3 linked regions of the Drosophila melanogaster genome follow. The protein of the gene in region 2 interacts with the protein of the main gene of each other region in a pairwise test. Each region holds a gene or a part of one and is shown on either strand. Other genes may lie near its edges.

Region 1 (4,642 bases), on a different chromosome or scaffold from region 2:
TGAAAACCAGGCCCTCGCGTTCAACAAAATGAAGGAAAATCTTGACTTGCGACAGCACGAGCTAACCATGTGCGAGAACAGGTTGGCCCAAACAACCTTTCAACAGAATCAGGCTGAAATTGAAGAAATGAGGGAAAGGGTCAAGACCCTAGAGCAGCAAATAATTGACTCCCGTGAAAAGCAGAAGACCTCGCAAGCCAAAATAGTGGATATCGAGGCGAAGTTGGCAGATGCAAAGGGTTATCGCGAGCGAGAGCTGAATGCAGCCACCAACGAGATCAAGGTGACCAAGCAAAGGGCGGAGAAATCTCGTGCGAACTGGAAAAAGCGAGAGCAGGAGTTCGAAACTCTTCAATTGGAAATTACTGAGCTGCAGAAAAGTATCGAAACTGCAAAGAAGCAGCACCAGGAAATGATTGATAACCTCGAAAAGTTTAAGGCCGAGCTAGACGCTCTGAAAGTAAATAGCTCCAGTGCCGCGTCCGAGGTGACGGAGCTCGAACAGGCGATTAAGGAGCAGAAAGATAAACTGAGAGATCAGAACAAGGAGATGCGAAATCAGTTGGTCAAGAAGGAGAAAATGTTGAAGGAAAATCAGGAGATTGAGCTGGAGGTGAAGAAAAAAGAGAACGAACAAAAAAAGATCAGTTCGGATGCCAAAGAGGCAAAGAAACGGATGGAAGCCCTTGAGGCAAAGTATCCGTGGATTCCGGAGGAGAAGAACTGCTTTGGCATGAAGAATACTCGGTACGATTACAGCAAGGAGGACCCCCACGAAGCAGGCAACAAGCTGGCAAAGATGCAGGAGAAAAAGGACAAAATGGAACGCACTCTCAACATGAACGCTATCATGGTGCTGGATCGCGAGGAAGAGAACTTCAAGGAGACCGAGCGCCGGCGAAACATTGTGGCGATGGACAAGGAGAAGATTAAGAAAATCATAGTGAAGATGGACGAAGAAGAGCAGGATCAGCTGAACAAAGCCGCTACCGAGGTGAACACGAACTTCAGTGGGATCTTTAGCTCCCTTTTACCGGGTGCTGAAGCGAAACTCAATCCCGTCCATACCAATGGCTGTCTGACCGGTTTGGAGATTAAAGTCGGCTTCAATGGCATATGGAAGGAGAGTCTCGGTGAACTTTCTGGTGGCCAGAAGTCCTTGGTGGCTCTGTCCCTTGTCCTGGCCATGCTTAAGTTCTCTCCGGCTCCCTTGTACATTTTGGATGAGGTGGACGCTGCCCTGGACATGTCACACACCCAAAACATAGGTAGTATGTTGAAGCAGCACTTCACCAACTCGCAGTTCTTGATTGTGTCTCTCAAGGATGGTCTCTTCAACCACGCCAACGTCCTGTTCCGCACTCTCTTCGAGGAGGGTGTGTCCACCATCACCCGGCAGGTCAGCAGACAGGCGACAACCAACAAACGCTGAAATGGAACTCGTTTACTTTCTTATCACTTAATAAAACTTTAAAAATACCATATAAAACTGTTCTTATCATTTTAATTGTGAATTTTTTCAAGTTTTTTTAATTCGCAAAAAAGGTTGTGTATTACAGCAATATACTTATTTCAAGAGCCATCGGTCAATATACTTATTGCTACATTACTTAAATCAACGAAATAAGTAATTTAACTACAAATTTAATTTTGTAACGGTCGTTTGCGCATCAGCTGATTTCCAACCGGGCGGGCGAAACGTCAAACTGGTGAGACCGTCAAACGCACACACACACATACGCAGCGGACAGAAGAAGAAGAACGAAAGGCAGCAACAGCAATGTTTGAGGGAGTGAAAAATTAAACAAAAGTCCCCGGAATTCAGCAGCAAAAACTCGACGGCGGTTGAAAAACAAAACATCAAGATTTCGAGCCAACGCAGACTGCTTCAAAAGCTCACCATGGTAATTTGCAAGGTTCCAAAAATTACGAATCGTCCGATTCTTTTACCACACACACACACGACTTGTGCGTGTGTGTGTGCGGGGAGCAGCAAAATATTGTAGACACCGCTGGCATTTGGATAAACAATAGCAACAATTGGAGTGGTGTTCGAGGCGGGAAAAGCACCGATTTGTGGAATTTCATTCATTGGAATGTGGGATTGCTAATGAACCGTTTTACTCTTCCAGGATCGAGTGACCAAGCCGCAGAAGAAGATGCTCATCACACTGCTGCGGGAAACCAAGTACATGGAGGGCAAAAAGGAGAAGGAGTGGTATTGGGAGAAGATCCAAGCGGCCCTTAATACTATTGGTCCCAAGAAGACGATTATTCAGTGGAAAAAGGTGCGTTTACTTGCCTATTAAATCCAAAAATAAACTTTAATCTTCTTCCAGTGCTGGCGCGATATGCGACTGACCACAAGGAAAAAGCTGGCGGAACTGAAGCGCTGTCAACTCTCTGGAGGATCTCCACCACCGGGGATCGAACTAAACCAGGAGGACAACGATATCATCGACATTGTGGGCACCGAGTACTTCTACGAGGAGATGAATGGTGAGCTCAAGGCGGAGAACTTCTTGACCGGCTTGGACTACGCCCCGGAGCATCTGTGCGATGCTATTCTCACGGCAGCAGTGGGCCATCACCAGCACAATATGCAGCACCAGAAGGATCCGCAATCGCATGCAGGGCAACAGCAGCAGCAGGATCATCACACCAACGATGGCGAAACCAATGATGCTCCTGGATCAAGCAATGGTGGCTCATATCAGGGACACCCAGTATCCCAGTTGCAGGCGCACAATGGCAGCGGTGGAGGAGGCGAGCATAGCGGCGGTGGTCAATCCCACTCCGGAATGCTCCAGCACCCTGCTTTTCACGGTGGCTTGCATCCACACCTGTTGAGGCGCCAGCATGGAAGTGGATCACTATCCAGAGAGTCGCCATTTGAGGAGAAGCTTCTGCAGTTCATGCAGGATGCATTTCCAAAAAAGAGCAAGAAGCGCAAGAACCGGGATCCCGACAAGCTGTTCCTCTTATCCCTGTACGAAGAGATCAAGAGAGTTCCGGAGGAGATACGCCTTGATGTAAAGTCCGAACTAATGCAGATACTGAAGAAGTATCAGAAGAAGTCGCCTGTCAAAGCGGAGAAGCCCGCGCCCTCCTCTACGTCAACCTCCTCAAAACTCAGCTCTAGCAGCAGTGGCAGTAGCACGGTGACTACTCACTTGTCCCACAGCATGTACCAGTTGCAAAAGAAATACGAAAAGGGCGAGCGTGAACCATCGCCTCAATCACAGGTAGAGCGAGTAGCATCTGCAGGCGCAGTTGCTGTGCCCATTCATACCTCCCAGCAGCTGCCTCTTTTCCAACTTCAGAAGAAGTACGAGGAGAACAGCGTGGAGAAGGTTCATCAGCAGCAACAGCAACAGCAAAGCGAGCAACGCAAGCATGTGGAGGCCGCTCAGGCCCTTCATGCTGCCCACCAGCAACCGCCTCCACCGCCACCCAATGAGCACCTGCACCACCCCCAGATGGCCCACAACATCATGTTTCCGCTGGGACAGCTTCGCAACGAGCAGCCGACCGCACAGCAACACCAGCATGGCCACAATCCCCACCAGCAACAGCAACAGCATCCCCACCAGCAGCAGCAACAGGGACAGCAACACCATCCGCCAACGATCTTCGGATCGACCGCCAGCGAACGGCCTCCAATGTCCTACGAAAATGTCGGATGAGTCCTGAGCCGTCTGTGGGAAGCCACTTGTGGAGCACCACGCCCTGCGACGGTGTCCCCCACGACGGCAGACGCGCACAGCTGTTAGCCCTCGATTTAGACGGCAATTCGTAGGTCTCATTCTTATGCTAGCCTATACCTAAGTACACATTGCTCACTACACTACTACAGTCAAAAATGGTGCAGTCAATGAGGAAGATACTCCTGATGTATGCCATTTTGTAGTAAGTGGATGCCGTGATCCTCATGTAAATGTTCCCGTGGCAATAACAGCGTAGCTCAACTGTGACTCAAGTTCTCAATAGATCGCGACGCATACATTTTTTCGGTGTAAATACAAATATAATTGAATCTTAAAAACTGTGGATGTTTTTTAGTTCAAGTAAAATGATTGATCCCCAACTTCTGGCAAGAGCTCCCTATTCCCAGGTTTTTGTTTTTCTGGCCAAATCGGAGAAGTCATTGGCTTAGCTCTGAGGTGGAATCCACAATCTTGTTTGTTTGGACTTTGAAAAGCTGTAAATCCGGCAAGCGGTCCGTCGTTAAGCTGTCTTCAGGAATATCTAGTCTTCATCTCTCGTAACGCGATAACGAAACCCACAGGGAGCACGCCATATCATAAAGATAGTCAAACAGCTGACTGATCCGGTCTGCCTAAGTGCGAATTTCAACTGAGCGCTGCCGATCGCCGAACTCGTCGTTGTCTGTCGCATGTTGGGCAGGTTGATGAGCGATCACGAGCCGAGCTGCAGCATAGTCCGCCAGATCTGCGGCGCTTATCAGTGGCGTCCGGCTGGGATAAAGAGATACAGATACAGATACAGGCGGATCGACTGGAGGCAGACTGGGTCTGGCATTCTTTTCCGGCAGCTGCCAGCAGCAGTTGATCGTCAGCGATCGAATCACAGGGATTGGCGGCAGCTCCTGCAGATGCAGAGTTCAAATTTCCAGTGAAGT
Region 2 (4,569 bases):
AAAGTATAGACCAGATATCGATAGACGCCGATAGATTCGGTGAAGTAAAATCGTGCAATTTCTTTTCCAAAGACTTCCACTAGTTAAAAAATAGATACAAAAATGTCCGAATTGCAGGTGAACTGAATCTACGTCAAATACGCATTCGTATCTTAAAGTCTGATTACCTATTCAAACTTAACCTAAACAGGAATTCAACCAGGCGGCCGAAGATGTTAAGAACCTAAACACCACACCCGGGGACAATGACCTTTTGGAGCTCTACAGCTTGTACAAACAGGCCACTGTGGGGGATTGCAATACAGGTGGGTCTCGGACATAGTCGTCACTCCGCTGCACCATCGATAATTCTAATCCAATGCAGATAAGCCCGGCTTTCTGGACTTCAAGGGCAAGGCCAAGTGGGAGGCGTGGAACAACCGCAAGGGAATGAGCAATACCGACGCCCAGGCCGCCTACATTACCAAGGTCAAGGCACTGATCGCTGCCGTTGGCCTGAAGTCATAGACTCAATCGAAATAGGATGTTGCATTTTATAGTCTCAGTTGTCGTCAAACGCACAAACTTTGATTTACAGAAACTTCGCACAAACTAAAATTTTTCGCACAATATACACCACAAATTCGTAACGTAACGTAAGCCATGTAATTTGTCATAGAGGGAATGAATATACATTTAACTATGTAGGATACTGCTTAGGCCTCTGTGGGTGAGGCGGCGGTGCTTCCCTGGGACTGGCGCTGTCGCTCGTACACTTCGCGCTGTAGCTCGCGAAGATTTAGCTCCAGCGTCTCCACCACCTCAAAGTTCATGTCCTGGCGAGCCTGTTTGATGTAGCCCTTAATGATGTTTATCTGCTCGATCAGCGGATCGTCCAGGCTGGACTTGCTAGCCGCCTGCGGTGCTGACCAGTTGTTCAGAGATTGAAGATCAGACTGTGAAGCAAATGGAATCACAGAGGTTACATATTGATCTTTGCAGAGAGTCCTCGTCTACATACCCCTTGGGCAAAGGATCCGCTTTCCGGACCAGGAACTCCAACGTTGGATTGGTTAGCTGCCATGTTATTTCGTTCGTAGGCTTCCATGGCCATGCGCTGTTCGGTGAGGATACGCTGCTCCGTTTCCATGCGTCTACGCTCCTGCATCTGGCGTATGTGCGATTCCTCTGGCAGTGGGGGCAGCGATAACATTCGCTCCTTGATGGCTTGGATGCAGCCCAACCGAATGGCCTTCTTTAATGCCTCCTCCCGGCTGCCTGGTTCACAAAATATGGCTAGAATGCGCTTGCTCCTCATGTCCATGGCCTCTGCCACTTGTCCAATCTTGCCGCGCAAAGCACCTGCATCCGCCAACGTGAAGATTGTGTCCCCTTCGTTCAAGCTATTGATGATCTTTAGATACATGTCCAGATCCGGGGTAACTTCTTTTTGTAGTTGACGAATTTGTTCGTAGACCTGGACGAGGAGTGGGCGACAAGTGCGACTTTCGTGCATATCCTTTCGGGTGTCCAGCAGCCAAAGGCAGTGTTCGCACAGCCGGATGGCGTTCTCATGCTGATGCAGCTGCTGAAGGGGCTCGCTTCTTGTGGTGGAAAGACTGGCTAGTTGCACTGCGGGATTATAATCAAATAAGTTACATTATTTTCCTCAATTATTGGATCTACAAACTGGCATCTTCCAGGGGCAGGAACTTGGAGCAATCATTGCACATTATGCCTCCGCACAAACGGCAGTGGTGTTGTCTTCGGGCGATGTGGAAACTCTTGGCACAACTGGGACACAACTTGACGGAACTACCATCCAGCCAGGCAACTGTTTGCTGTTCATGCTGACGCCGCTGCACTGAATCCGCTGGCAGATCCTTAAGCAGGCGGTGCAAACGAATGATTAGTTTGTTTGTTTCGCTGGCATATCGCTCCAGGCGAGGATTGCGAATGGACTGAAAGTACTCGAAGTGGGAGCACTCAGCACCAGGCTGCTGCCTGGCCATATAGTTAAATACATTTAGACGGGAGCGGGCATTACTGGGTCCATTGCGATCTCCGTTGCCATTGGGATTCTTGCCAGCCGCTGAAGAGGAGGAACCTGCGGGCGACGATACAGATGCACCTTTTTCATCCTCAAAGGGGTTTAGGATCTTCTTTTTCGCCTTGGTAAAGATATCTTTAAAGGATTTTAGGGCATCCTCCTCTTCCGCATGCTGGCGGGCAAAATGATCCGTGAGCACATCGATGGACTTGAGATCCGCACGGCAAATGGGACATAGGAAGCCCTCTAGTATCTCTCCACTGGCCGAGCTTTGATCTTCGTCGCTGTCGAAAGGATTTCCAGACATTCCGGCGATGAGTAATCGTAGTTAATTCGGTGGGTGTTATTTGTTGTGGTCTCCTCCCCAAAAAAAATTGACCCTAAGGTTTTCCACTTGTTTTAAAACAGTGGCATGACGGGGCTTACGGCACTTGTAGTCCTAAACTCGATTAATACGGTCAGAGTTTCTACAAATCCATTAATTTTATTTAAAAACTAATATTTGCAGAAATCATCAAGATTTATCTACTTCACTCTTCTTCTTCCCAAATTGCAATTCGAAATAATATCCGAGAATTAGGGCTGCAGCAAAAGCAATATTTGGCTATTTTTGCTGTTTATTTGGATTTTTGAAAATTTGTTTATGGTAGTCACGGAGATTTCATACTCTTTCCCAGTTAAAACTAGCTAGGAATATATATGTTATAAGCATATTTTGATTACCAGCTTTTGCCTATCCATTTCTGGATCCGCTGCAGCCCTGGTAAAAGCTTTCCATGGCGAATGGCCAATGCGCGGAAAGAAGCAGAATATTGCCTGCCTGGAAGTTTTCTCGGGTTTAACGCTTTTAATCCGTCGTGGGTGTCAATATCCTGTGTATAAAAATAATTCCTAAGGCAACTGTGCACTTGGCACACATCTTCATATCGAGTTAGCCCAATTTAAAGCTCCAGATCGGCCGCTAATATGTCGGAAAGATCGAAAGGTGACGTGTCCGCTCGCGTAAACAACAACGCAAACCAGACGCGTGTCGTTAAAAATCCGCTTCTGAGCGCCTCCGTGACCGGCCTGAGTTTCGACGACTTCCCCAACAAGCCGCAGCTCCTGCCAGCCGCCCCGCCCGTGGTCCATGCCACGCCTCCAGCGGCGCCCGTCCTCATCGCTGGCATCTTGAATCGCGGTAAGTGGGTCACCGTACGTTCGTGAATCTAACGCGGAGTGGGGGTCACCTGTTGCTCGGCTGCTATAATGATAAGCTGATAAGCCTGGCAAGGCACTTGACCTTCTTACCCTCTTCATAAACTGGGGTTGACTTTATCACGGATCAAGTTAATATAAACTACTTTCAGTGTATAGAGGAATGGGTCAGGTCAGCACTTATTTTGGCTTAAACAAATATGTATACCTACTACTAGCTGAACAAATATATAGATATATTATAATAGTTTTCCTAAATAAGACATTAGTTAAGTCCATTTAATCGTTTGAAATCACCGACATTGTTTATACTACTTTTTTTAAGTTGCACTTCGTTTCAGTAGTTTATGCAGGGACAAACAATTGTATCCTAAATATTTGCATACATTTAGTAAAACGGTGCCATATTGTATATCTGGTACTTCTATGGCATTTTATTAGACTTCGAGACCACATAGGTTCTAACTTGGCACAATAACATAACAACAATCTACTCCATGCTCCTAGTGGAGTGGGATCTATATGTGGGCAGCTCCAGCGTTGTCTTCCTCCGTCTGCAACACCACACAATGCTCCATATGAGGGCTGCAATAAGCAGGATCAGGAGAATGACTCCAAGGCAAATGGCTGCAATGGCGGCCTCGTTCAAATACACATCTCTGACATCGATGGTGAGGCTTCTCTGGTTCCCGGCCGCATCGAAAGCGATGAGTGATACCTTTGGTTCGCAGCAAGAGGCCATGTAGGTTGCCTTCAGGGGCTCTGTGCTACCAGCAGTATAATAGTTTCTGTAGAAAAGACCCTCTGGCGGCGAGGCCTGCAAACGCATCATGCCTGACTGCCAGTCCTGAGCGGTCACATCCACAGTCCAAAAACGTTCACCACAATTCTGGGATTCGGGCGTCAGGTAATCACAGCGGCTGCCAAACTCCCAGGATAGTGTAGGTCCAGTTGAGTCCTGGAAATTATATTTAAACATTTCAATTATGCTTTCATAATCAGGTTATCGGCTGTTCACATACCTGAGCATCTATGCTAGTCACCACTTTAAGATTTACCGCCAGAGTAGATGTTTCGCGACCGTAATTGGTGAAGGTAATCCGGTCTGTGGTGCCCTGAGCTGTGCCAGTGGGCACCAGAACAGTCAGACGCACTGTAGCCGTCTCCTGGGCGCGCAGGCTTAATCTACAAAGGCAGAAGTACGTAAGATATATAATGTGTAAACCAAAGACTTCGCTCTTAAGCGCTCCAACCTGGTAGGATTCAGTTGAACCAAGAAGCGCCGCTCGTCGGTGACTTGAATGGTGGAGTAAACCGTTTCCGTTTTCATGTTGGTGACCTCA
Region 3 (4,695 bases), on a different chromosome or scaffold from region 2:
GATCGTGCTTCAGCTCCACCACTCGACCCAGACAGGCGTCTAGTAATTTACGCACCAACTGGCGCTTCTGAGGCTGAATCATCTATGATGAAAGATGAGAAGTAAACCAGAGTCAAAGGATATATCATCTCCTTATATATATCCCACTTTTGTTTAAGAAAGTCGTATACCCACATTATCATAGACATCCTCCAAACGATTGCTCAGACATATGTAGCGCAGATAGAACTCGTACAGACTGGACTGCAGCAAGGCCTTGGCATCCGCATCGGCGGCGACGGATCCGACCGCTGCATTCATGGTGGCCACCGTCGTCTCCACATCCTGGTGCTGCCTCTCATAGTCAATCGTGGATAGAAGCTCGCATTCATGCTGGGATTGGTGCCAGATATCATTGAAATATGTGCTGGACATGATGGTCAATGATACTCCTCCAATGAAAAATCAGATTCTTGTTTGAGCCAAACGAAACGTTGCCTGGGAGTTGCCAAGGAACTTTTTGCCGAAACGGGGTGGAATTATTGCAAGGACAACGAGAGTTTAGTAATTTTGTACACACATAGTTGTATATAATACATTTTGTCCAAGGCGTTGCCTGGTGTTACCCTCGAGAATAACAATAAATATGTTTACATGGTTACGCTTAAAAGGTTAAATAGTCCAATGGATTTGAATTGGTACAATGCATGGAATACCTTAATACATAATGCACATTCATATTTAGTTAATAAATAGTTAACAATATAATTGGGGCTATCTAGTCAAAATAGACTTTAAATGTTATCCGTGGAACAGTACTTGATCATGGATTTGGTGTGCTTAAACTGAATGCCACTAGTGGCGGCCACGACCTCTTGGATAAAACTCTGCGAGTTATGGATGGTGGTGCCGCCAAGAATGACTTTATAGCCGGCGTTGTTTAACTGGTGCACCGCTAAGGCTTCCTCGTACGTGGCACCGCCAATAATGAACACGACAACCTCCTGCGGTGGTCGTCGAAATGGCACAAGCTCTGAATTGATGGCCGGGAAGAGGGGATCCAGCTCGCGGCCCTTAAACACGTCCTCCAAAGTTTCCTTCAGGAGAGGAGTGTGCTGTGTGAAGACATTTTCCACACCCTTAAGGCCCTTAATCAAATTCCGTGTCAGCTTTACGGCGTCCGTTATCCGCACCATATTGAAGAGATCTCCTTGTCGTACATGGGTTCCAGCATACTCAATCAACGATGGCACTATAGCCGCTCGTCCACCGCGCGTTTTGATTATTTGCAGCAGTCCAGATGTGTCGCAGTTGGCGTGTCGCTCGTATCGCAATGCATAAAGTGCCACCAACTTAAGAGCATCATCGATGGAAACCCGTTCGTCGGCAATTAGTTTTTTGATTCTCTGCAGCTGGGCCGAGTGCTCCGCCTTGCAAGCGATCTCCTGTTCAAGTTCGGAAACCTCGAAGAGATTCCTCTTGTTGCTCAGCGCCGACAGTTCTCCAATCACACACAAATGCTTTTGCACAGTGCCAGACATTTTTTTAAACTGCGGATATGACTCAATAAAGTTCTTCATGTCTGCTATGCTCTCCACTTTCTTGTGGTCGTTCGCCTTGCGCTGGAACTCCTCCATCAGTTGTTTGATGGTAGATCCGATTTCGCCGTAGTTGGCGTACATGTTGTTGCCATAGAAGTCATCCTGATCACCGGATAAGACCAGCTCCTTGAAGTCTTTCGGCACATTGGGGCAATTGGACAGGTCCAATCGATTGTTTTTTATGTGCAGCAACTCATGCACCATGGCCTGGTATGTCCACTGATGCAAAAGCGGCGTCACAGGATCGTCCCTGCGGTCCAGCACAAGCAGCAGCGGTGGCGCAGCGCCATCCATGTTGGAGCGAAAGTCGAATAGCGAGGACTCTTTTGTGATTTGCTCGTATATGAGCTTGGCCAGAAGCTGCGCTGCCTGAGAACCGGCTCGGTACCGGATCACTGGGTTCAGCTTAAGGGACAACAGCACGGCTGTGATGCCCTGCATGCTGCGGTTGAGAGCGTCCGGCAGCCAATTAAGATTCGCCATGCAATTGGGAATGCCTAATGAGAACAGATTGGGGTTGACGCACAGGTAGTCTGCATACAGTTCCTTCACTTCTCGCACCGATTCGGATTCGTCGCACTCTGCCAAGTATTTAATGTCCGTCCGGGGAATGATGTTGCTGAAATCTATTTATGAGTTTAGTACTATTCCGAAGGTGCTTCTACTGACCCACTTACAAATGTAGTAGGCGCTGTATTTGGGGTTCCGCAACTCGTTGGCCAGTAGCTGGATGTTCTGCTTGGTGGGGCGTATAAAGACGATGCATTTTAGATACTTTAACCGCTCGTTGGATCTTCCCGAGTCCAGGCGCTCAAATAGGTACACCTCCCGTTGCAGCATGTCCGATTGGCTAAAGGCCATCGAAATTATACTGGTCTGCGAATGATGTGAATTTTTGATCATATGGCAGGGGATTTGATTGTCAGTCCTTGCACTTACCGTCTCCTTGTCCAGCAGAATGATTTTCATGCCCGGTCCCGACTCGGAGCACATTTTCTCGATGTACAACTTAATGCCGCTTATCAGATTCATGACTGCTAACTAATTTACTGCGAAAATCAGAAATTAATGTTTTTTTTCGCAAACAGATGGGTTGGAGATGCCCCAATTGCGATAGCTCCGTGATAACAGCGGTGACCAAACATTTGGGTAACATTCGCTAGATCTAGCTAATGTAAAATAATGTGAATATGTAAAAATGCATATAGATAAAAACTTACAATTTTTTGGTAGTATAATAAAAATAGCAATAAAGATAAACATAAATAGCAATTAAGCTCAAACATAATTCCGTATCTTTTCATTAGCCAAAATAAACTTCGAGTAGCAACATCCCTGGCCGGCAATCGATAAAGCGCCGATATGCTCGAGCGATATATCGAGTGCCCAGTAGTTATCAGTCTGAAGCACTCGCAGCAGTCGGCCAGAAATTCTGGCATATATTTTTGGATTCAAATTCGGATGGCTGATATGCAGGTGGACTGTTGAAAACCGGCTAAATACAAGAGTACGAGCAAAGCATAGACTAGGACACAATGGAGATGCAACTGGGAGCCATGCTGTATGTGTACAAGGGGGAGTACGGACTGCCGTCCATAGATTTTGAATGTTTACGTGCTCTGGTAAGTTCCGTTGCATCACACGGCGGCCAGCACGCCTGTTTTGCCCATTATCGCAGATGATGAAAGAAACTGATGAAAGCGCCTCTTTGCCGGAAACAGTGCCTCCTGCGATTCACCCGCTGCCCCATGGACGTGCAGACCAGCTCCAATCCGCTGCGTTCGGGAGCCGGGAAGCTGCCGTATCTGCAGATCGGCAACCAGAAGTTCGCGGGCTATAGGCAAATTAAGCGCGTGCTGGATCTCGAGGTGAGTGAGCAAAACAATGCCGGGGTGAACAAACTGCAGGCTCTATTTATAGATATGTGTTTTTTTATGGGCTTAATTCGACGTATTCTTTCAGGGTTACCCGATAGATGCGCATTTAAGCACTAAACAAAAGCATTTGTCCACCGCCTACGCCAACTGGGTGTTCACCAATCTGCATGCCTACTACCACTACTTCCTGTTTGGAGAGCCTCACAATTTTGACACAACCACGCGGGGCCTCTACGCCAAGCGCACGCCATTCCCCTTCAACTTCTACTACCCGTCGTCCTACCAAAGGGAAGCCTGCGACGTGGTTCAGGTGATGGCCGGTTTCGATGTGAACGACAAGTTGGACAAGCACGAAGGCGACTACGTGAGTGCTTTCAATTTCATATTGTCTCATATTACATTATTGTATCTTTAAATCCGAGGATTTTTTAATTTGTTTATCTAACCTATGTTTTACACCCAAGCTGCATTTCGATTGGAAACGTTTCATCAGTTTATATTAATAAGAAACAGTTTCTCATGTATTGGTCTTTTGTTATCAATATATCTTATCAATGTTGTGAAAAGCAAGACGTTTCTTTAACTATCAATTAATCATTTTACTTTACAGCTCGTTGTCAATGCCAAAAAAGTGGTGAACCTGCTCTCCCGGAAATTGGGTCGCAAGGTGTGGTTCTTTGGCGACACCTACAGCGAGTTTGATGCCATTGTCTACAGCTATCTTGCCATCATCTTTAAGATCGCACTGCCTAACAATCCACTGCAGAATCACATTAAGGGCTGCCAAAACCTAGTGAACTTTATCAACCGCATCACGAAGGACATATTCCGCATCGAGGGATACAGTTCCGTCAAGCTCACAAAGACACCCAGTGGCACGGAGGCCAGTCTGACGGCCTCGGAGCGCAAGTTCCTAGACTCCGAGCTGAACACCAAAATAGTAGCCGGCGTGGGAGCCGTCTTGGCCATGGGAGCGTTTGCGGCATGGCGTGGGATTTACAACCAGGTGGGTATTTTTGGCTGAAATTTGTAGTTCTTTACTCTTGACTTGATGGAGCTTATTCGATAGTTCTGGTTCAATGTCTTCTGTTGGCTCCAGACACTCTTGTAGACAGCCTCAGCTTGAGCACGTGCAAAATTCTCAGTTAATTGCAAATTCCGATTGATTCATCCTTGCAGCTAACGACACGCTCTTCGACGGACTACGATGGCATAGATTACGAGGATGACGAGATGGA

The links.
Region 1: the proteins of Rbsn-5 (region 2) and CG10209 interact in a two-hybrid assay, tested with the Drosophila melanogaster proteins (one study listed by BioGRID).
Region 3: the proteins of Rbsn-5 (region 2) and Vps45 interact in a two-hybrid assay, tested with the Drosophila melanogaster proteins (2 studies listed by BioGRID).

The regions. Positions count from the first base shown.
Region 1 is NT_033778.4:14,845,462-14,850,103, reverse strand, and holds CG10209 (uncharacterized protein), read left to right. Parts: upstream 1-1,737; 5' UTR 1,738-1,901; coding exon 1,902-1,904; intron 1,905-2,132; coding exon 2,133-2,288; intron 2,289-2,339; coding exon 2,340-3,686; coding exon of another isoform or gene 3,687-3,773; 3' UTR 3,774-4,040; downstream 4,041-4,642. Other genes in the region: SMC2 (structural maintenance of chromosomes 2), read left to right, coding at 1-1,432.
Region 2 is NT_033779.5:8,157,859-8,162,427, reverse strand, and holds Rbsn-5 (Rabenosyn-5), read right to left. Parts: upstream 2,597-4,569; 5' UTR 2,337-2,596; coding exon 1,670-2,336; intron 1,612-1,669; coding exon 1,001-1,611; intron 936-1,000; coding exon 696-935; 3' UTR 628-695; downstream 1-627. Other genes in the region: Acbp1 (Acyl-CoA binding protein 1), read left to right, coding at 103-117, 191-305, 365-507; CG43394 (uncharacterized protein), read right to left, coding at 3,717-4,184, 4,249-4,411, 4,480-4,569; PAPLA1 (phosphatidic acid phospholipase A1), read left to right, coding at 2,996-3,209.
Region 3 is NT_033777.3:9,561,943-9,566,637, reverse strand, and holds Vps45 (vacuolar protein sorting 45), read right to left. Parts: upstream 2,715-4,695; 5' UTR 2,613-2,714; coding exon 2,520-2,612; intron 2,457-2,519; coding exon 2,258-2,456; intron 2,207-2,257; coding exon 774-2,206; 3' UTR 546-773; downstream 1-545. Other genes in the region: CG16789 (uncharacterized protein), read right to left, coding at 1-82, 175-414; CG9393 (uncharacterized protein), read left to right, coding at 3,116-3,202, 3,302-3,448, 3,543-3,821, 4,068-4,463, 4,637-4,695.